4 linked regions of the Danio rerio genome follow. The protein of the gene in region 1 binds, or shares a complex with, the protein of each later gene. Links are inferred from orthologs where the notes say so. Each region holds a gene or a part of one and is shown in the gene's direction. Other genes may lie near its edges.

Region 1 (4,929 bases):
GTGTTCAGTCGTGGCAGGGGGAAGATGTCGGCATTGGACCCAAGATTCCTCAGGCTCTGGAGAAAATCCTGCAGCTGAAGGAAATGAGGCAGGAGCAGCTCAGCGTCGCCCCTACAGGTAACTATGAGTAACTGCACAGGGCTTATGTAACATTTATTAGCCTTAAATGGCACCTATTATACAAAAATCACTTTTATAAGGGGTTAAACACAGTTGTGTGGCAGAAATGTTTGAATATAACCAGCTTATAATGGTCAAAAATAATTAATTCCGTTTGTTTATAATCACACTTGATAAAGACCTTTCTCCCTTTGTACGTGTTATCAGTGGAGGAAAGCCCCGCCCATTAGTCACCATCTCTTTCTCATCAGCATAGGACTTTAGTCCTGTTTTTGAATCTACCACTATGCTGACACATGGGCATTTGTAGCTCCGCCCTCTTCAGAAAAAGAGCACAATCTCATTTGAATTTAAAGCGACAGTCACCAAAACGGCACAATATAATGCTCGGAATCTTCACATAAACACTAGGGACATTAGAGACTTATTTTGTAAAGAAGTGGCATAAATAGGTCTCCTTTAGTATTGATAATAACCATGTTTACAAGATGAGAGCACTTGAGTGCACTTCAAGCTTAATTACCCACAGGAGAGACAATGAATGTGCCGTTGAGACTCGCATTTGCAATCTGTGTGTGCATTCATGAAGTCAAAGTGAATGTAAAGGCTCTTCAGTTTGTAGCATCATTAAATAAAAAAAACGAGTGTAAGAATAATCCCAGATAGTTGAATGTGAACTTATACAGTGCTCAGCATAAATGAGTAACCCCCCCCCCCCCATTTCTCAGTAAATATATATGCACTTTTGGATGCATTGGTAACACTTTACAATAAGGTTGTGTCAGGTAATGCTTTTACTAACATGAACAAACAACGAACAATACATGTGTTAGTGTTCATTGTTCATTCATGTTAACCCACTATGTAATATTAATGTGAACGAGCACGAATGTGGATGTTAATAATGCATTAGTAGATGTTGAACTGTGGTTAATAAATGCTGTACACGTATCATTCATATTTTGTTCATGTTAGTAAATACATTCACTGATGAAACCTTAATGTAAAGTGTGACCGAATGTTTCATTTAACAGTTCAGTCCATTAAAATAATATAATGAAGATACTACATGTAAATTCAAATGAAAGTTATTATTACAAGAACAATTACAAACTGTTACGAAATGTTAAATGTTTCATTTATTTTGAGAGGGTGCTCGCTGCAGAGCCATTTGAGGAGAGCTGAGCTCCAGCGAGGGGGAGCATGAGCTGTCGCTCCTCCTCCTGTAAGCTGTTTTAATGCGTACACCAACCCTACCCCTAACCCTACCCCCAGTGACATCACTCGTAGAAGAAGTGCAAAAAAGGTGGAGCTCAAGCTTAAGCTCCCCCTCGCTGGAGCTCAGCTCTCATCAAATGGCTCTGCAGCGAGCACCACTTGTTTATTTTCCCCAACATATTCATTTGTGTGCTGTAGGGATGGTAGACAGCTTAAACCCAAAGAATGAGCAGTCTGTCAGATGAAGAAGAGCCGGAGTCAGAGATTTAAATAAATAAATCAAGTTTACTGAAGATAGTTTGCAGTTTCATCAGCAGAAGCCAGCTTCAACACTCCAATGAGTTCCTAGGCCGCTCTGCTTAAAATCACCAATCAATAACAATTATATTCTCAAATAAGGCAATTAACTGCGTCACACATATAGGTGCTCTAACCTGATTGGTTAAAACACAGATAGACTTGGAAAATTTTCATGTGGCATTAAGCGTAAACGTCAGACATCCACTAGACCAGTGGTTCTCAATCTTTTTTCATCAAGTACCACCTCAGAAAAAAATTGTCCCTCCAAGTACCACCATATGACCAGTATTGAAATACAGTAGTGTAGTAGGCCTAATTAAGCAGCTACAACTCTGCACAGTTTAAAAACGTGGCAGATGAATTACTATAATTAATAATATTTATTATTTAAACCTTGTAAATAGTTTGAACGTTAACACTGCTGTGCTGATATGTAAAAAAACAAACAAACAAAATAACATGGCAACGTTTAAATTAAAATTAGCTTTTAAAAGTTCGTAAAAAGTGAAAAAAAAAACTCCTGTACTTAAATGGAAAGTGTAAACCTATAATATCCTATTCATCAAAGCCTGGAAATGCTGCTTGGACCTCATAAATATAGGCTATATGTCATCATGTTTATATATGAACCATTTTTGATCATTTTGAAATATATGTTGCATGTACAAATGACTATTGGATTACTCTGCGTACCACTAGAAGGCAGCCCACGTACCACTAGTGGTACACGTACCACAGTTTGAGAACCACTGCACTAGACTGATTAGAGCTGACTCCAGACCTGTGAAACGGATCAACAATCAAGTAGAGCACACACACTTAAAGTACAATCTGTTTGAAAAGTACATCCTGAGTGAAAATATGCTGAATGAGAGTGAACTGCTGAACTGCACTTAAAGTCTAAAGATTAAAAATGAAACGCCTGAAATTACATGAAACTCTGGAGGAAGCGCATGATAGCCTGGTGATGCCAAATTAAATGTTTTATACTGAAACTTTCCTTCTAAAAGTGCTTCCTTGGTCTTATCCAAATTTCTTAGCACGTTAAACGCACGTCGGCCACAAAAAGAAATTAAAAAACTGCAACTGCGTTAATTTTTTTAACGCGTTAAACCAATCACGTGCGTTAACGCACTAATTTTGACAGCCCTAGTTTTGACAATTATTTTATCCAAAAGTCAATATTTATATTTGAAATATGAAATGGAGATGGGTTGAATTCTCTCTGGGTCTGGACTTAGAGAAGTGCTCATATGTAGGCTGTATAAACTCTGTAAATAATCAAACTGTCTCATGATTAAGTTTCTGTCTTTTGTCTCCTGTTATTTCAGAGGATGATGATGATGATGATCTCGCGGAGCTGACTAATATTCACGGATATTCAGATGAAGATGACGAAAACAGTCTGTCTAAAAAAGACGTGAGCTTTACTCTCCGTCATCCATCCAGGTTGCTCTCCTGATCACTTGTGCTGAATTTGTTCTTGTGTACTTGCAGAAAAACCGTAAGCGCAGGAACAGGAAGAAGAAGAAGAAGAAGAAGCAGCGTGAGCAGGAGAAGGAGCAGCAGGACGAGGAGAAGAAGAAAGATGAGAAGGAGCCGGAGGTGGAGATCGAGTACGTGACAGAGGAGCCGGCCATCTATGACCCCAACTTCATCTTCTTCAAGAGGATCTTCGAGGCGTTTAAGGTCAGAAACTGCTTTCATTTAAAAGGTCACGATCCACACTCGTTAAATAATTACTTTATTTCTTTATTTTTTTTTTACAGATTAAGGTTTTTCGATTTTGAGGGAAATCATATTTTGACGACTTTGTGTTTTCTCCATTGTCAATGCTATTTGTTAAATTAGTTAGATTTTATTACACGAGCTGGATTCACTGGTCAGAATGGTGGGAAATCATAAGCATGAATATTTTGGTCGTGATTAAAATCTTGATTATTTAAAATGATTATTATTGAATAACTTTCCCAGAGATGGGTTGCGGCTGGAAGGGCATCCGCTGCGTAAAAAACGTGCTGGATAAGTTGACGGTTCATTCCGCTGTGGCGACCCCGGATTAATAAAGGGACTAAGCCGAAAAGAAAAGGAATGAATTATTGTATAACTAGTTACAATTATTAAATTACAGTAGAATAAAAATATACAAATGAAACAAACTGCTTTAAGCATCTTCACTGTAATTAAATTGATTTGTTTACTTATTTAAAATTAGCTAAAATGACAAATGTCTGGGACAATTTGTTTTGTGTTCAATCTACCTAAATTTGAACTTAAAAGTTAACACCAATAACTTTTTGGAAATCTTGCCCACTATAATAACTTTTTGGACACATGGTGCACTGTAACGCCTTTTTTGATATGTGGCCCACTATAATCACTTTTTGGACATGTGGCCCACTATAATCACTTTTTGGACATGTGGCCCACTATAATAACTTTTTGCACATGTGGTCCACTATAATAACTTTTTGCACATGTGGTCCACTATAATAACTTTTTGGACATGTGACCCACTATAATAACTTTTTGCACATGTGATCCACTATAATTACTTTTTGGACATGTGGCCCACTATAATAACTTTTTGGACATGTGGCCCACTATAATAACTTTTTGGATATGTGGCCCACTATAATCACTTTTTGCACATGTGGTCCACTATAATAACTTTTTGGACATGTGACCCACTATAATAACTTTTTGCACATGTGGTCCACTATAATTACTTTTTGGACATGTGGCCCACTATAATTACTTTTTGGACATGTGGCCCACTATAATAACTTTTTGGACATGTGACCCACTATAATAACTTTTTGCACATGTGGTCCACTATAATTACTTTTTGGACATGTGGCCCACTATAATTACTTTTTGGACATGTGGCCCACTATAATAACTTTTTGGACATGTGGCCCACTATAATTACTTTTTGGAACTGTGGCCCACTATAATCACTTTTTGGAACTGTGGCCCACTATAATCACTTTTTGCACATGTGGTCCACTATAATAACTTTTTGGACATGTGACCCACTATAATCAAGTTTTGCACATGTGGCCCACTATATTAACATTTTGGACATGTGGCCCACTATATTAACATTTTGGACATGTGGCCCACTATATTAACATTTTGGACTTGTGGTCCACTATAATAACTTTTTGCACATGTGGCCCACTATATTAACATTTTGGACATGTGGCCCACTATATTAACATTTTGGACATGTGGCCCACTATATTAACATTTTGGACATGTGGCCCACTATATTAACATTTTGGACTT
Region 2 (5,491 bases), on another chromosome or scaffold:
AGTAAGCCCTTTTAAAGTATGAGAAATGCAATTACATACCAATAATAAACCTTTCAAGGCCCAAGGTGTTTTTTTTACATGCATTTTTTATTTCTCTTTGCTATTTTGGCATATAGGAACATAATTATTATCTTTTGATATGGTGTACTTTTAGATAAAAATGATGTCCATATATGTGGACTCGTGGTCTGAATTTACAAAAAACACTTTTTCCTGAATGTTTTTAATGCATATATAACATATACATTTTTTCCCCATTTTGGACAGTTAAAAATAGTGTTTGGGACATTTCATATGCTGCAAAACAGTTGCAGGATGACACTGTCTGTGACAAAATATAAAACATTCAAAGTATTTTAAATAGCCACTTAAGGGCTAAAATGTACTGTCCACGTATGTGGCCACTAAGTCCTAGGAGATTAATGCTAAACAATTACTTGAAAAAAGAAACTACTTACTTCAAAAAGAAACTACTCGATCAGCCTGTTTTCTACACCCCATGACTCCTGAGCAAATTATGGGATTAACTTTTGTTAAACTCAAACAGAGAAAGGTTGGCAATCAAGTTTTTTTCATAAACAACAACAACAAGGTAACATTATTTTGCTTATTCTTGAACTAGCAGTTATTAAAAGACAGGAAAGAAGACAGACATTTTGCATATCACTGTTGCCTTTAAGATTTTACAATTATCGATGAGGGGACATTCTAAAATGCTTAGCATGAAAAAAGCTTAATGTACATCAACAAGAGAAACCCAATTTTTTGTCAAACTTTACTTGTAATTAACCCTAACTTCTATAAAAAGAACAAGTCCCAAGCAAAATAGTCTGCCAATGGGGTAAAAAAAAATCTTATGTCAAAAGGAGAAACAAGATTATTTTGCTCACCCCATCGGCAGATTATTTAGCTTGTTTTAAGGAAAAAATCACTTAATATTGGCATATTATTTCTCAAAACAAGACAATATGTTTTGCTTACCTAGAAAATGCTTCTTGATATAAGAGTAATTTTTTGATATTTGGACTAGAAACATGCCAAAAAAAAAATCCTAGAAAATAAATTATGCAGTGTAAATCCTAGTTTGGAACATTTGTGTTATTTTATATGGCCACAAAGGGAAATCAATATTTCACAATAGTATATTGCTTACATAAGAGTCACATGTCATTATACCTCAAAATAATCTGTCTTTATTAGTAAGATAACATTTTGGGGCTAATTTTATGATGAAAGCTCTGTAAGTTAAATTGTTGTGTGCAATTAAATTAAATCAGAGGCCTGCTGTGCTGATGGGGTATATGTACACTGACTTTTAATTTTAGTAAGGCAGCCCCAGGGCTTTCAGTGTCTTTCTGTTATAAAATTGCCACATTTAAGGTCTGATTTCTTTGAAAATTAGTGATCTTTACTGCGTGTTAGATATTCGATATGTGGGTTTCAGACCGGACAAGAATCACTGATTTAAATGACATTTCCCCCAACATGTTTACCCCAGTATTTTCTGGTATGAAGTTTCTGCAGCCTGCTGATCTTGACGGCGCTATCTGTACACGGTCTTTTATCTTGTTACTCTTGAACAACTGAATGAATGCTTAAGTCTATTTAACTGAAAGTGTTATTACATTACAACATCGATGCTGTGAAAGGAACCTTATGAAACTGAAAATAGTCACATTAAGCTTTCACCGGATGTTTATCTTTGGCTGAAAAACCCTATTGATTAAACATCTTGGTTGATTGGTTTGATAAATGTTAGAATTTTCCATGATATTTCTAATAAAGCTTTTCAACAAAGAATTGTTTATTTTGATAAATCATTTCTGTCAAATATGATGCTATAGCCTATTTTTATGAAGACATTAAGTTAATCATCACATCTAGTTTTCTCTTTGTTTCCTTTAGAGCCTGTTTAAGGTACAAAATAACAAAAATGCAGTAAATATTGCTGAAATTTTTGCTAATTCAACCATTTAAGCCTCTAAACTGAGGAAAATGTAGGCTATAATTCAATCAAACTGACAGAAACTATTAATTTTTAGCAGTGTTGTAAGCATGATTCGTTCGTTTGTTTGTTTGTTTATTTGTTTTTTGTTCATTTTTTTTATTATTTACCACTGTTTTAATGATTTAGCGAAATAATTTAGCTACTTTGCAATTAGCATGGTTTTACTACAAAAACGCCGTATGGACAGTCAGTCAAATACACATCCCACAATCCTTTTGTCTAAACCGGAAGACAATGGCACCACGTGTGGACTGCGAAAAAGAAACTATTTCCGGAGTGACTTCGATTCACCAAAATGAAGTAAGTGATGAGTTAAATGTTTGCGTTTGATTAAAATATTTTCAATACATTTGTTATACCGTGTTTCTTGTACGTTTGAGAATTTAATTAGACTATTCAGTCATGGAATGAAATGTCGATACAGCCAGAAGCCTCTGGTTTGCAGCAACAGCTAAAGCTAGCATAAATATAAACGAAAACTGTTACATTAAACATTAACATTCAGTTACATGTGTTTTACTGGAATAATAATATAATTAAAATATTTTTTATAATAGAAATGTTTTGTCGTGGAACGTTGTTCAATTGTTATTTACTTGTTATTGAGAAATCATTTTTAGTTTTATCAACTCATTAAAGTATATCTTTTTTCATAAGCTTACAACTGGTCAGAATAATAATCATTTTACTTTGTTGTGATATAAAGTCAATTTTTGTCTACTAAATTCAGATTTCTTAACTCGTCGTTATTTAAAACATTGGTATTGTGTTGTCTAAAAATGAATATAAACATGTATGATTCCTTTACGAAAACGATAATCTTTTGTGACCAATTATCAGTTTACATTGTATGTTGAATATAGAAGAAATGTTATCAGTGGGACAAAACTATTGACTTGCATAACAAAACCATATACATCAATGTTTATTGTGTTGACATCTTTAATTTTTAAAGATTTTAGGCTGTAAAAAGTGTCAAAGTCATAATGAATCTTGAATAGGGGTTCACGACATTGGGTAAAAAAAATGACATTGCGGTTTTTAGTTTTCTGCAATATACATTGCGATATAAATATGATTTCACAAAAGATTACCTAAATAACTCTGTGTAAACAATTCAAATATTTGCATGAAACATTATAAACAATTTGTAAGCATAGATAAATGCAGTAGAATGTGTTTGTTTGTTTTGTGTTTTATGGTTTTCTGTGGAGTCTAAGAATATTAAACTAACATTAATCAAATAACATTATATTGTATTAATTGTAGTAACTAGAAACAATTTTATTCTTTGTTAAATCTCTAAACTATAAAACTAAAATTTCTTGGTTTACTTTCACTTGTCACAGTTCCTTAAAACGCATCCAAATGAAAATCTTTCACTCTGTTAGGATTCAAATTTGCGATGACTCCAAAAATTATGTTCTGAAATGTAATTCCTGGTCATTGTAATCACAACTCAACACTGCGGATGCTGCAGTGTGACTATTGCATATTTGTACATTGCGATATCGATGTTAAAGCAATATATTGTGCAGCCCTAATCCTGAATATACTGCATTTTCTCATATTTTGGTTTAGTCACCATAACAGAATAATAAACAAAATGACATATTGTGGCCCACAAAATGAATGAACAAGCAAACATATATTCATTATCTGTCTTTTTTTCTGTTTTTTTTTTTTCTTCATTAAATGTAGTCCACTGACCAAAGTGAAGCTGATCAATGAACTGAATGAAAGAGAAGCTCAGCTGGGCATCAAAGAGACTGTGTCCTGGCATTCAGTCTATAAAAACAGCGCCTGGGTCTTCATCGGTGAGGAAATGATGAACATTATTACATAGTTACATTATGGCTGTGGACCAAAAGATAGATCAATCTGTCACAGCACTTCGGCAATCATTATTATAGACCAGTGGTGCCCAAACTCGGTCCTGGAGGGCCGGAGTCCTGGAGAATTAAGCTCCAACCCTAGTTAAACTTGACTGAACAAGCTAATCAAGCTTTAAATAGCATACTAGAAACTTTTAGGCAAGTGTGTTGAAGCAAGTTGGAGCTAAACTCTGCAGGACACCGGCCCTCCAGGACTGAGTTTTGGGCATGCCTGTTATGGAAGCTAAGATGCTGTCTGGATGGACTATATTTACATTCTGCCAGATGGTGGCAGCATTCATCTGTTTAACTAAATGTGTGTTTTTGTAGACAATGGCATGATTTTAGTCCTCCAGAAACCCACACTGGTACACAGTGATCTGACCTTGTACAATTTCAAAGTGATTTACATTTATTGTTGTATTTTTTATGTTGCATTCATTTACTAGACAGAACATTGCAATTCAAACCATGAAGTCAGAATTATTCGCCCTCCTGTGAATGTGTGTTTTTTTCTTTTTCAAACATTTTCCAAATGATGTTTAACAGAGAAATACACTTTTCACAGTATTTCTGACTATTTTCTTCTGGAGAAACTTTGATGTCTTTAATCTTTTCTAGAATAAAAGCAGTTTTAAATTATTTTTTAAAACCATTTAAGGGGCAATATTATTAGCCCCCTTAAGCAATATTTTTTTTCGATGGTCTACAGAACAAATCTTTTTTATACAATGATTTGCCTTAAAACCCTAACTGGCCTAGTTGATCTAATTACCCTAGTTAAGTCTTTAATTTGCTCTTTAAGGTGAATGCTAGTATCCTGAAAAATATCTAGTAAAATATTATGTACTGCCGTCATGACAAAGATAAAAGAAATCAGTTATTAGAAATGAGTTATTAAAACTATGTTTCGAAATGTGTTGAAAAATCTTTCCATTAAACAGAAATTGGGGGGGAAAATGTACAGCTATTAATTCAGGATGTCTAAAAATTTTGACTTGTATGTATGTATGTATGTATGTATGTATGTATGTATGTGTGTGTGTGTGTGTGTGTGTGTGTGTGTGTGTGTGTGTGTGTTTGTGTATATATATATTTATATAAATATGTATATATATATATATGTGTGCGTGCGTGTGCGTGCGTGTGTGTGTGTGTATTTATTTTAAGTAATGTAAATATGTATATTAATATCAATCTGCAGGTGGATTTCCATATGAGCTGACAGAAGGAGACATCATCTGTGTTTTCTCTCAGTAAGCCAGAGTGTTCATTTTAAACATGTCTTTTTGTGCTAAAGACGTCAGTATTTATTTTCTTTGCTAGTAAAGCTTAATCCTCCTCTGTGAATGTCAGGTATGGAGAGATTGCCAACATCAACTTGGTTCGAGATAAAAAGACTGGCAAATCCAAAGGATTCTGTTTCCTGTGCTATGAAGATCAGAGGAGCACTATTCTGGCTGTCGATAACTTTAACGGAATCAAGGTGAAACGCTTTTCTAGTGTCTTTTTAGTGATGTGGTCTTTTTCAACCTGAATTGTATTTTATTCAGATGCAGAAGAGTTCAGATGCAAAAACCTCTAAGTGCCATCTGAAACGTTCTCCTAA
Region 3 (5,525 bases), on another chromosome or scaffold:
TATGTCTATATGTAGTGCACAAAAAAAAAACATAGGTGAAATTTTAAAAAATAACCCCTTGCAAAAGTTTGGTTTGTGGTTTCCTAATGATCTACCAGTGTTTTTTTGTTGTTGATGAGTCTCTTGTTTGTTCTGAGCAGTTCAACTGACTGCTGTTCTTCAAAAAAAAAAAACCCCTCCATGTCCCCTAGATTCTACAGCCTCCTCTGCAGATTTGAGCTCTTTCCAGCAGCGAATCAAAGTAAATTCAAGGTAAATTGCACTTTATTTGTGTTCCAGGAAACATGCAAGTTCAGTGCTCAGCATAATTGAGAACACCCCATTTAGAAAATTTATATTTTTATAATTATAGTTTAAAATTTATATTTATTAAAATATTTAAATAATTATATATTTTAAATTAATATTTATTTTATTTTATCAATATATTTTATTACTTATTAAATAAAAATTTATATTTAAAACTAATATTTATTTTTATTTATTTTATTAATATTTTTGATTTCTTATTGAATATAGGCAATGCATTTTGGTGCATTTAAACAAAACAGATTTATTAAACAGATATATTTATTAATATGATATTTTAGTCACTAAACATATTTAGAAATAGAAAGATAATACAATAAAATCAAGCTAAATTTAGCTAAAGTAAATTACAACCTATAAAATTTCAACAAAATTTTCCTTTTTTGTTTTTGCTTCTCTTGATTTTTCCTCTTTTGAAAAAAAAAATTGTATTTAATATTTTCCTATAAAATTTTTTGGCTTTTCTAGTTTTTGGGCCGTTATTGTAAGTTGTTTTGTTTGATAAGCTCCAGATTTGGCTTCAGTACTGACTAATGTATTTGCACAAATATAATACTGCAGCTTCCTATTAAAAACATGAATATAAAATAAAGATTTTTGAGGAGTGTATGGTACAATACTTATTACAAATTACCATGTATTTTGTATTATGTTGCTACTTTTGTTAAAATTATTCACATTTAACAGATTATATAAGTGGTATGTAAACATTCGAGCACAACTGTAGACGTAATATACAGTTGAAGTCAGTTGAATTATTAGCCCCCTTGTTTATTTTTTCCCTAATTTCTGTTTAACGGAGAGCAGATTTCTTTTCAACACATTTCTAAACATAATAGTTTTTGCTAACTCATTTCTAATAACTGATTTATTTAATTAATCATGATGACAGGTAAATAATATTTTATTAGATAATTTTCAAGATACTACTATACAGCTTAAAGTGACATTTAAAGACTTAATTAGGTTAATTAGGTTAACTAGGCAGGTCAGGGTAATTAGGCAAGTTATTGTGTAATGATCTGTAGACAAAAATATAGCTTCATGGGGCTAATAATATTGACCTTAAATTTTATTTTATTTTTTTATTTATTTTATAAAAACTGCTTTTATTCTAGCCAAAATAAAACAAATAAGACTTTTTCCAGAAGACAAAATATTATCAGACATAATGTGAAAATTTCCTTGCTCTGTTAAACATCATTTGGGAAATATTTAAAAAAGAAAAAAAATCAAAGGGGGCTAATAATTCTGACTTCAATTGTACGTTATATGTTTTTCGTCTGTGTGCACGCACAGACTTATTTTGGTAAACAAATAAATAACAACTCTTTACGGTTATTTCATACACAATAACAAGCAATACATAATTAACAAATTAATAAAAATGGACATTCACTTACATTAAAGATAGGTCGGACTATAAAAAAATCTAACAGTGAGCGAATAAAGTTAAATAACATAACGTTACATGTAACTTTACTTTGAGCCTCGTCACTAACCTTTATAAAAACAAATAAACATTCACACACATTGAAGAAAATTCGGTTTAACAATAAACAGATCTAACAGTAAACAAATAAATAACAAACGTTTAAGGTATTTAATTGAGGTAAGTTAACGTTATTAATGTAAAATGTTGAGTTTTGAACTCAGTCACTAGCCAATAATAGGCAAAAATATTTTAAAACAACAAGCATTCACTTACATTGACAAAAAGTCGATACACAAGCAACATAAAACAATTAAACAGGTATTTTTGGTGTATAACAATAAAAAACTGAGTTTTAACAGCCTCAAACTGCTGACCTTTTATTTATTGATAACGTTAACCGCTAGCAAGCGTCCTGTCACCATGGTGAGATGCTCCGTGACGTAGATGCAGGCAAAGGTCACAGCGCGTCACGGCAGGCGCGACACACACGGCACTGAAACGTCGCTAACCTTACAGGTTTTAGCGGGCTTTCGAAATCTAAAACACAAGAACATACGTCTAATTTATTTTTAATAAAGTGTCAGGAGCGTAATAATCATGGCGTCCACCGCGGCGGGCAAACAGAGAATCCCGAAAGTGGCGAAGGTAAAACCTATATGATGTTTTTGTGAGTTAGCATTAGCATGTAAACAACGTGAAGTCGTGCTGACGTTACTTAATAATTAACTACTGTATATAAATGTGGTTAGTGGAGTTAAGCTTATTTTTTTATAATGTATTTGTGTTTGTGTTCAGGTGAAGAATAAACCCCTGTAAGTTAGCATTAGCATGTAAACAACATGTAGTTCTGCTAACGTTACTTTATAATTAGTTAACTGATGTATAATGTGTATACATGTAATCAGTTGAGTTAAAGGTTGTCTTGCTTTGTAATGGTTTTGTATTAATGCTCATGTGAAGAATAAAGCTGTGAGTTAGCATTAGCTTGTAAACAACGTGAACTTGTGCCACTCTGAAAATAACAACTGTATAATGTATAGAACTATAACCAGATGGGTTAAAGATTGTCTTGTTTTGTAATGGTTTTGTGTTTGTGTTCAGGTGAAGAATAAAGCCCCTGCAGAGGTGCAGATCACCGCCGAGCAGCTGCTCAGAGAGGCCAAAGAGAGAGAGCTCGAGCTGCTGCCACCGCCACCCAAACAGAAGATCACCGATAAAGAAGAGCTCAATGACTACAAACTGAAAAAGAGAAAGGTATGAAATGTTGTATCACCATGTAGTATACCATGGTGTCACTATATGCATATGTCATAAAGTAGTACTAAATTACTGTGCATGTACTGAAAGCTTGGTTCTGTCATGGCATATGCCTCAAAAATATACAGTAGTGTCACAATTGCTTATAGAATGTGCGCAGTGCTATCATGATGTTCAGAAAATATGGTATTGATATGGTGTGTAGATTATAAAAGATGATATCGCTATGGTTTAAATGTATTATTTTATTATGGTAAACCTCTAGAAAACATGGGCATTATCACAGTGCATATTCAGAAAACTCAGAGGATATGCAATGTCTTGTTGGGTTTATAGTTGACCAGAAGACAGTTTATATATGTATATAAAGTGGAAGTCTGCCTGTGTTTTATGGACTGCCGCTGTATGAACATTTCAAGAACGTATAAAGCATCCAGGTGTAACGCTTCTCTTCCTGAAGACGCAAATCACTCAGGCGGACACAGAGAACTGCGTTCTGCGTTGTTTATTCTGTAACAGAAATATACATCCTCTGGCAACAGTATGCATTTAAACATGCATCGCCTTTCTGCATTCAGCAACCATTTTCTGCTGTGTTGCCACAAAGTCATTTTAACAAAACATTATTTATTTACAAAAGGTTAACATACCTGTAACAGAAATATACATCATCTGGCAACAGTATGCATTTAAACATGCATCTAAAAAAACCAAACAAATAGTAAGAAATCACCCTTGCACATATTAATGTCATCATTCCAGCTACACCTAGCATGAGCAAATTAAACCACACAAAGTTTGTCACACACGGCAATCACTCGACAGATTTGATCTAAAACATCACTTAATGTTCATATTGGGCTTGTATGTGTTATTAATATGTGTTAAAATACAAAATTTGTCACATTTAGCTGGAGCACATTTTACCTACCGCCTTTCTGCATTCTGCAACCATTTTCTGCTGTAGGCGGGGTTTTGCAGGTGAAAGGTGAAAGAAACAATTACACACTGTTGCCACAAGAGGTCTCTCAACAGCCACAAAATAAACAAAATAACCCATTTTGGTGAAAGACAATTAAACATTATTTTAACCCTGTTACACAGGCACAAGAAATTAGACCATTTGTACCTTTAATAAAGATACATTTTTAAAATAATTTTTACAATAAAGAAGATGCAGTGTTTTATTTACATTTGATTTTTTTGCAATTCCTGTACCTGTTTGCTGTTTGACAAATTCATAAAGTAACAATACTTGTAATTTTTTGTTATTTTTTTATGCATGATTCAATCCTTTATTGCAATCAGTCTGAATTAATAAACACTTCCCAAATAGAGTTAAGGCATCTGATGGACCTATATTCATTTTGCATTATTTATCACAGAAAAACAAAATATGTCAATGTTTGATTTATTTTTCAATATCTTGCACCCCTAATGTTCATGCTTTGAATATGCTATGTCAACAAGGTACATCTGGTCACAACATGATGTTACCAGTGTAAAGGTTTTGTCAATTTGATGTTTCGCATTTGATGTTCGTTTCTATAAAACTCCTAGTATACATGTACTAAACTCAATAACACATGGTATTATTGTGATACATACTTTAAAAGCTTCATATACATAGTGCATCTGCAGAAAATATGTCATCAGTATATTATGTGTCAAAAAGAATAAAATTATATTAATATCTTAAAGTTAAAATGCCACTGTCAGTGGTATATAATTAGGGGTGCACCGATATGGGTTTTTTAGTGTATATCGATAACTAATAACTCTTCAGACTTGGAGGCTGATAGTCGATATATATAGGTCGATAATTATAAATGTTTAAAAATGTTATATTTTTAAACTTAATAAAAGATTGAACTGCTCTTATGAACTGAAAAGTCTACTCAAACCAAAAAAGCTATAATTTCAAAATTGCAAGGTGGTTATATAGACCTATATTCACGATTTCACATAAATCAGCATGCAAGAAAATTAATTATTTCCTTTTCTTCATAGCAAATTAACATGCAACTTCACTGTTGCATAAAAATAATAGGTTAAATAACAAAACAGGATTTAATCAACAAGCAAGTTAAATATATTTAAATAAGATGAAAATGAAAGAGCTAACAACTGAAACCAGCTCAATTGTTCTTGAATAAAACGTGTTACATTGATGTACATATGTACAAATATGTAATGTTCGAAAAAAAAAAAAACTTTTCTAAGGGTGTTTTGACAGTTCAGAGTTACCGTACAAGCAAAAAGTTGAGTACAGGTTGTATTACTTTAGAAAATGCGGCATAGATTCATCCTATTTAGCGTTTTAGATTCTTTTGAACACGTATAGCTGTAGTGCTTGTCAATCAGACAATGCTTCTGTGTTCGTTCTTGCTGTCAATTGCGGGAAAAATGATCATGAAAAGTTTATGATAAACCGCTGTGAGTTGAACTAAACGTAATTTATCGGCCTAATTTAGACATCGGATCGATAACGATAATCTTAAAAATAGCATTTATCGGCCGATAA
Region 4 (5,374 bases), on another chromosome or scaffold:
ACCCAGAAAGCATTGTTTTTAACAGAATATTACTGTTTTAGTGAAAAAACATTATTTTACCGTAGAATCTGACCGTTTTTTAACAGCAATTTTTTACAGTGTAGTTATTAAAGCTATTATGTTTAGAAATGTGTTGAAAAAAAATCTCTCTGTTAAACAGAAATTGGGGAAAAATAAACAGAGGGGCGAATAATTCAGGGAGGCTAATAATTCTGACTTCAACTATATATAAAAAAATAATAAAAATAAAACAAATTTAAAAAGTGGCACACGAGTCACAAGCACCTTGTATCTGGGACTGGCGCAGCTCAAGTGAGACATGTTATCTCCCCTCTTTGCCTTCTTGGTGGCTGCAGCCAGTCAATATAGCTCAGCTTATTGTAATAGAAATTAGCTACGCAGATTGGAATCAGGTGGCACCAATCTGCAAACAAAAGAAATCAGGAAACAGAGAAAAAAAACTGCAATATAGAAACAAAAATAAAACAATCACATGTAACATTATCTTAATGTAATCGATATCAATTGTCATTTACGGACTTGTAATGGACAGTAAGGAAGACGCCTTCCTAATCAACAACATCCTTATGCCTGGAAAATTTTTCATACATAAATCAAAATATTTGAAGGTGAAACTAATGTTTTGTGCTTTTTATAATGAGATTCTTTCATATATAAAATCCCTTAAAGATCCTGAGGTGTGGAATCTGAAGCATCCATAATGCATCCACAAACATACAGTGAAAAAACAAATGATCTGTTGTTTCAATATCATCACAAAACACACATTTATTAGACTCAAATCCAAATCTAATTCCTAAATATTTACTTGACAGATTCATCCCACTTAAAACTTTAAAATGAACTTTTTTAGTTATTGGAGACAGAGGAAACTTTAAATATTTAAATATTTAATTTTAAGTACGTGAATGGTATCTTTTTAGATAATTTATGTGAAGTTGAGTTTTTTTTATAATTATTATTTTTTCCTTAATTATGTCTAAATAAGGAAATACTTTCTTACTCTACTCTTGTAACCCCAACTGTGCCTCGTGTGTTAACTGAAGTCTGTGATTTCAAAGAAAGAAATCTATGTAAAAACCAATGATTGGTAACAACATTTTATATCCTATAAAATGGATATAAAATGTTGTTACATAGATTTCTTTCTTTGAAATCACAGACTTCAATTAACACAGGAGGCACAGTTGGGGTTATAAGGGTAGAGTAAGAAAGTATTTCCTTAATTAGACAGACAAATGAGATAGAAATGGCTTTAAAGATTTAAACTTTACTGAATTAGAAATTATATTTAGTACAAACATTTTCATATGAAGTAATACCTTTATTGCTGTCAATTAATTGGGATACTGACAAATCTCTTTTCCCATCCATTCCTTGTCAAACAATGTTTTGTTTTTAATAGTGTTCACTTCATTTTATGACCATTTTCAGCCTACAGATATGCACCTTATTGTTGGAAGAAATTGTCTAGCTATAAAAAAAACTAGAATTAAAAATGTTTAACTGGTTTTGTTTTGATTTAGATTTTTTTATTCAGAGAGCTTATATTAGCTATAACAGAGTTTGGTTGTCTATTAGTAGGCTACATTTGCAAATTTTAAGTCTTATAAGTCTGTCAGTCACCCTACTTTTTGAGTACATACTTGAAAATGATACATGGTAGTAGCCTATGTATGTAGCTATAGTTTGTCAAGATAAATTCAGATCTAGATACTTTTTGTACTGAAAAACAAAAAAAGTTTTTTGTATAATAATTAAAGCTGTAAATCATACTTAAGATTACCCTTAAGTGTTTGAAGCCAATATCTATTTGAGCCACTTCATAGATATATATTCCATACATATATAATACACTCCATATGTGTGTGTATATATATATAATAAGATATCTATGGAGTCACTCAATGTTTATTTACGTTTTTGTTTTTACTCCAACATTAAAAAATAGTGGTCAAAATTTTAAAATTGATTTTTAAATATATGAAAACTTAAAAAAACATTTTTTTTAGTAAATCTTGGCTGACTGCGACATGTATTAGTAGCCTGTTTTTTTTTTTTCAAACAGGCAATATGCTTGGCGAACGCTGATGACGTCACCAACGTACGACCTACGTTGAGCTGTGCGAGGACCTCGCGGTGCATGGTTTGAAACAGTACGAGGGATCATTTTGTAACAATAAAATCACACCGGGATTAAAAACAAGACTCGCACACAGGTATAACACTGTTATAATACGCACTATATTTACGACGGAAATAATTATTTACACGAAGCAATTATTCATTCATTCGCTGTCGTACGTTTGCTGCGCGATCAGTTGCAATATCGGCTTTACTTGAGGCAGTTTCACAAGGGAATCTTTTATATTTATTGCGATTTTCAGTATGTTATGAGGTAATTTTATTCACTTTAATGTTTGCTGTGTTTATTGGGCTCTTAAAGATACATGTTCGACACTACAGCATTTTATTGAGGTAAAGTTTTTGCTCATTGACAACTTGTGTCACGTTCCCTTTGGTGTTTACATTGAGGTAAAGTTGGTTTTATATTCGGACTTTCCCTTTAATAATAGCTATAATTTAAAAAGATATGATTCTCTGCAAGTAGTGAACTCATATTAGCAGCCATAGACTTTCAAAGTACAACATTGTTCACAGAGTTAATAGAATTAAATTGTGCTAACGCTGTTTTGAAGTTAAACTTACTTTCTATTTCAGGCTGAATATTCAAAGTACAATATAGAGAAGGTATTAATTTAACGTTACCAGTTTCTATCCAAAACGCAAAACTAACTAGCACATTGGTTGGATGCAAATTAAGGTAAACTTGGTTATATTAGCACATTCATTCAGTGACAACTTGTGACATGTTTCTTATATTGTTTACAAGGCTACTTTCAATATTTGGTTTGAAATCACATACAAGTATGACTTCAAAACAACATTAGCACTGTTTGATTGACTGAACAATGTTGTACTTTCATAGTCACTGGCTGCTAATATGATTACCCCGTTTATAATTTGCAAAGAATACTTTTCTGAGATGATATTATCAATGAGAATGTGTGAATAGAAAACCAACTTTACCTCAATGTTACTTTTAATATTCAGTCTGAAATTGCTTCCAAGTATGAATTCAAAACTGTGAAGACTTTGACTGTGAGCAATGTTGTACTTTGATAGTCATCGGTAGCTAATATGAATTTCTTATTTAGAATTTGTAAAGAATACTTTACTGAAATTATATTATTAAGAAAAAAGTCTGAATGTTCGAATATTAAGATAAAAGTTTTAAGCAGAGTTTAATTAAGTTTAATTATTCAAAAACATTTACAGTGATTCGGACTATTAGGGAATAAACCTTAGTGTGTCACCTTTCAAAAGAGACCAAAACAATGCATAGTTACCTCATAGAATAAAATTGACTTCTAATGTATTTATCCCTTTTTCGTATAAAATAAAAAAAACAGATTTTTAAAAATACGGTTTCATTAAGCTGCAGTCTGGAGTAGGCATGAGACGATAACCATTTTTTAAGCTATACCGCGGTTTAGAAAAGTCAAGGTTTTAAAACCGTCAATTTTCTGCTATATTGTTCCTAGGGTATGAGTAAGATTTTTTAATTTACTTTTTTCTTAGTTTTTTTTTAGGACAGCAGAAAAGATATTCAAAGATTGCGTTTTAAATTTTTTACAAATCTGTATTTTTGAAACAAATGAAGGAAGCAGAAGTCAATAATTCATTTGAATTATTTAGCCTGACATGTTTACTGCTCCAAAATATTATGAATGTTTCCCAAATAAAATATATTGTGTACAAAGGGGAAAACGTTTTTATTTTTTTACCCAGACATTTAAAAGGAATATATTTCAGAGCAGTAATCGCAATACCTAAAACCGTGATATTTATATCCAAGATTATCATAGTATCAGAATCTTATACCAGCCCATGCCAAATCCGGGGTTTTAAAACATTTAACATCAAATAAATACTCTAAATATAGAAAAATCCTGCAATGTTTTAAACAAAAACCTTTATTTGTTTTTAGAAAGACACCCACAAATAAACTTTTTTTACAAGGGGTGAGTTAGTCAGCTAAAGTTAGTTGTAACATTTGTGATTTTTAAATATTTTAACAATCAATAATTTTACAATCGAATTTGTCACCTGACAAAGACCAATACTAAAAATGGTTAAAAATAGCATGCAATTTACTTTGGGTATGCATTTTGTTAGGCATTTAAGCAAATTTTACAGAAACGCTAAGAATTTAAACCAATTTTACCTCAATCAGCATTTTGTGCAGTAATACTAAAAGTGTTACAGTAACGTTTTTCCCAACACTAGAAAATAAAACAGACAGAATAATGAACCACTGCTGCATTTTAAATGAGTTGATCTGCATTCCGAATAGTTCCTCTGCACCAAAGTAAGTTATGTCATTTGTATCTGTTTTGTCCTATCAGAGCTCGTCGCCATGGAGACTGATCTTTATGACGAGTTTGGAAATTATATCGGACCAGAGCTGGACTCTGATGAGGATGAAGAGCTAGATGCAGAGGACCGGGATGCTGATGAGGTGATTGTATAACCTGTAATCATATTCAAACTGCCAAACCGTTGCTAGTTGGAGCATTTGTGCCATTTAAGTGCAGTTTCATTAACCCTATTACATTAACCCTTAATTGCCTGCTCAAATCGTTGACCAGCTTTTGACTTTTAAATAATGACTTTTAAAGTCATTTTAAGAATGACTGTTTTAATAATGGTTTACACGACACAGCATTGTTGGTTTATAAAATAATCAAACAAATGTAATCCTGTTTTGTTACTACACTCAATTTTGGTTTTATTGATATATATATACACACACACACACACACATATATACATACATATCTATATATATATATATATATATATATATATATATATATATATATACATATATATATACATACATACATACATACATACATACATACATACATGCATACATACATATATATATATATATATATATATATATATATATATATATATATATATAAGAAAACATGTTAAATGAGAATCTGAAATATTTTTTGGCATACTTCAAAAAATAAAGATGATATAGTATTCAAAAACAATTTATTTTGAATATTTTTTTTAAATAAATATGTCTTACACTTCATATTTTCAGATTTTTCATTGGATATGTATTAATTCCGGTAATTTTTCCATAAACGGACACATCAACCTCTACCAAATGGTTGATATTTTGTCGCATGTTGAAAAAAAATTCATTGGATGTGTTGACTAGTGACATTATGAGTTAAGAAATGCTATCCATAGTATTTTTTTCTTGGTG

What was found. Proteins that work in one complex are often made in the same cells at the same time.
Region 2: sf3b2 (region 1) and rbmx2 share a complex: the UniProt entries of both Homo sapiens proteins name them as parts of the minor spliceosome. The link is inferred for Danio rerio from reciprocal best matches to the Homo sapiens genes SF3B2 and RBMX2.
Region 3: sf3b2 (region 1) and crnkl1 share a complex: the UniProt entries of both Homo sapiens proteins name them as parts of the minor spliceosome. The link is inferred for Danio rerio from reciprocal best matches to the Homo sapiens genes SF3B2 and CRNKL1.
Region 4: sf3b2 (region 1) and eftud2 share a complex: the UniProt entries of both Homo sapiens proteins name them as parts of the minor spliceosome. The link is inferred for Danio rerio from reciprocal best matches to the Homo sapiens genes SF3B2 and EFTUD2.

What each region holds. Positions count from the first base shown.
Region 1 is NC_133182.1:6,516,364-6,521,292, forward strand, and holds part of sf3b2 (splicing factor 3B subunit 2), read left to right. Parts: intron 1-8; coding exon 9-117; intron 118-2,969; coding exon 2,970-3,058; intron 3,059-3,135; coding exon 3,136-3,327; intron 3,328-4,929. UniProt on the Homo sapiens protein: Component of the 17S U2 SnRNP complex of the spliceosome, a large ribonucleoprotein complex that removes introns from transcribed pre-mRNAs.
Region 2 is NC_133196.1:41,941,965-41,947,455, forward strand, and holds the start of rbmx2 (RNA-binding motif protein, X-linked 2), read left to right. Parts: upstream 1-2,256; 5' UTR 2,257-2,303; coding exon 2,304-2,308; intron 2,309-3,709; coding exon 3,710-3,825; intron 3,826-5,086; coding exon 5,087-5,138; intron 5,139-5,238; coding exon 5,239-5,368; intron 5,369-5,491. UniProt on the Homo sapiens protein: Involved in pre-mRNA splicing as component of the activated spliceosome. As a component of the minor spliceosome, involved in the splicing of U12-type introns in pre-mRNAs.
Region 3 is NC_133195.1:52,274,085-52,279,609, forward strand, and holds the start of crnkl1 (crooked neck-like protein 1), read left to right. Parts: upstream 1-2,290; 5' UTR 2,291-2,341; coding exon 2,342-2,389; exon of another isoform or gene 2,390-2,845; coding exon 2,846-2,998; exon of another isoform or gene 2,999-3,702; intron 3,703-3,932; exon of another isoform or gene 3,933-3,964; intron 3,965-5,525. UniProt on the Homo sapiens protein: Involved in pre-mRNA splicing process. As a component of the minor spliceosome, involved in the splicing of U12-type introns in pre-mRNAs.
Region 4 is NC_133178.1:15,083,586-15,088,959, reverse strand, and holds the start of eftud2 (116 kDa U5 small nuclear ribonucleoprotein component), read left to right. Parts: upstream 1-2,139; 5' UTR 2,140-2,419; intron 2,420-2,447; exon of another isoform or gene 2,448-2,499; intron 2,500-4,490; 5' UTR 4,491-4,501; coding exon 4,502-4,603; intron 4,604-5,374. UniProt on the Homo sapiens protein: Required for pre-mRNA splicing as component of the spliceosome, including pre-catalytic, catalytic and post-catalytic spliceosomal complexes. Component of the U5 snRNP and the U4/U6-U5 tri-snRNP complex, a building block of the spliceosome.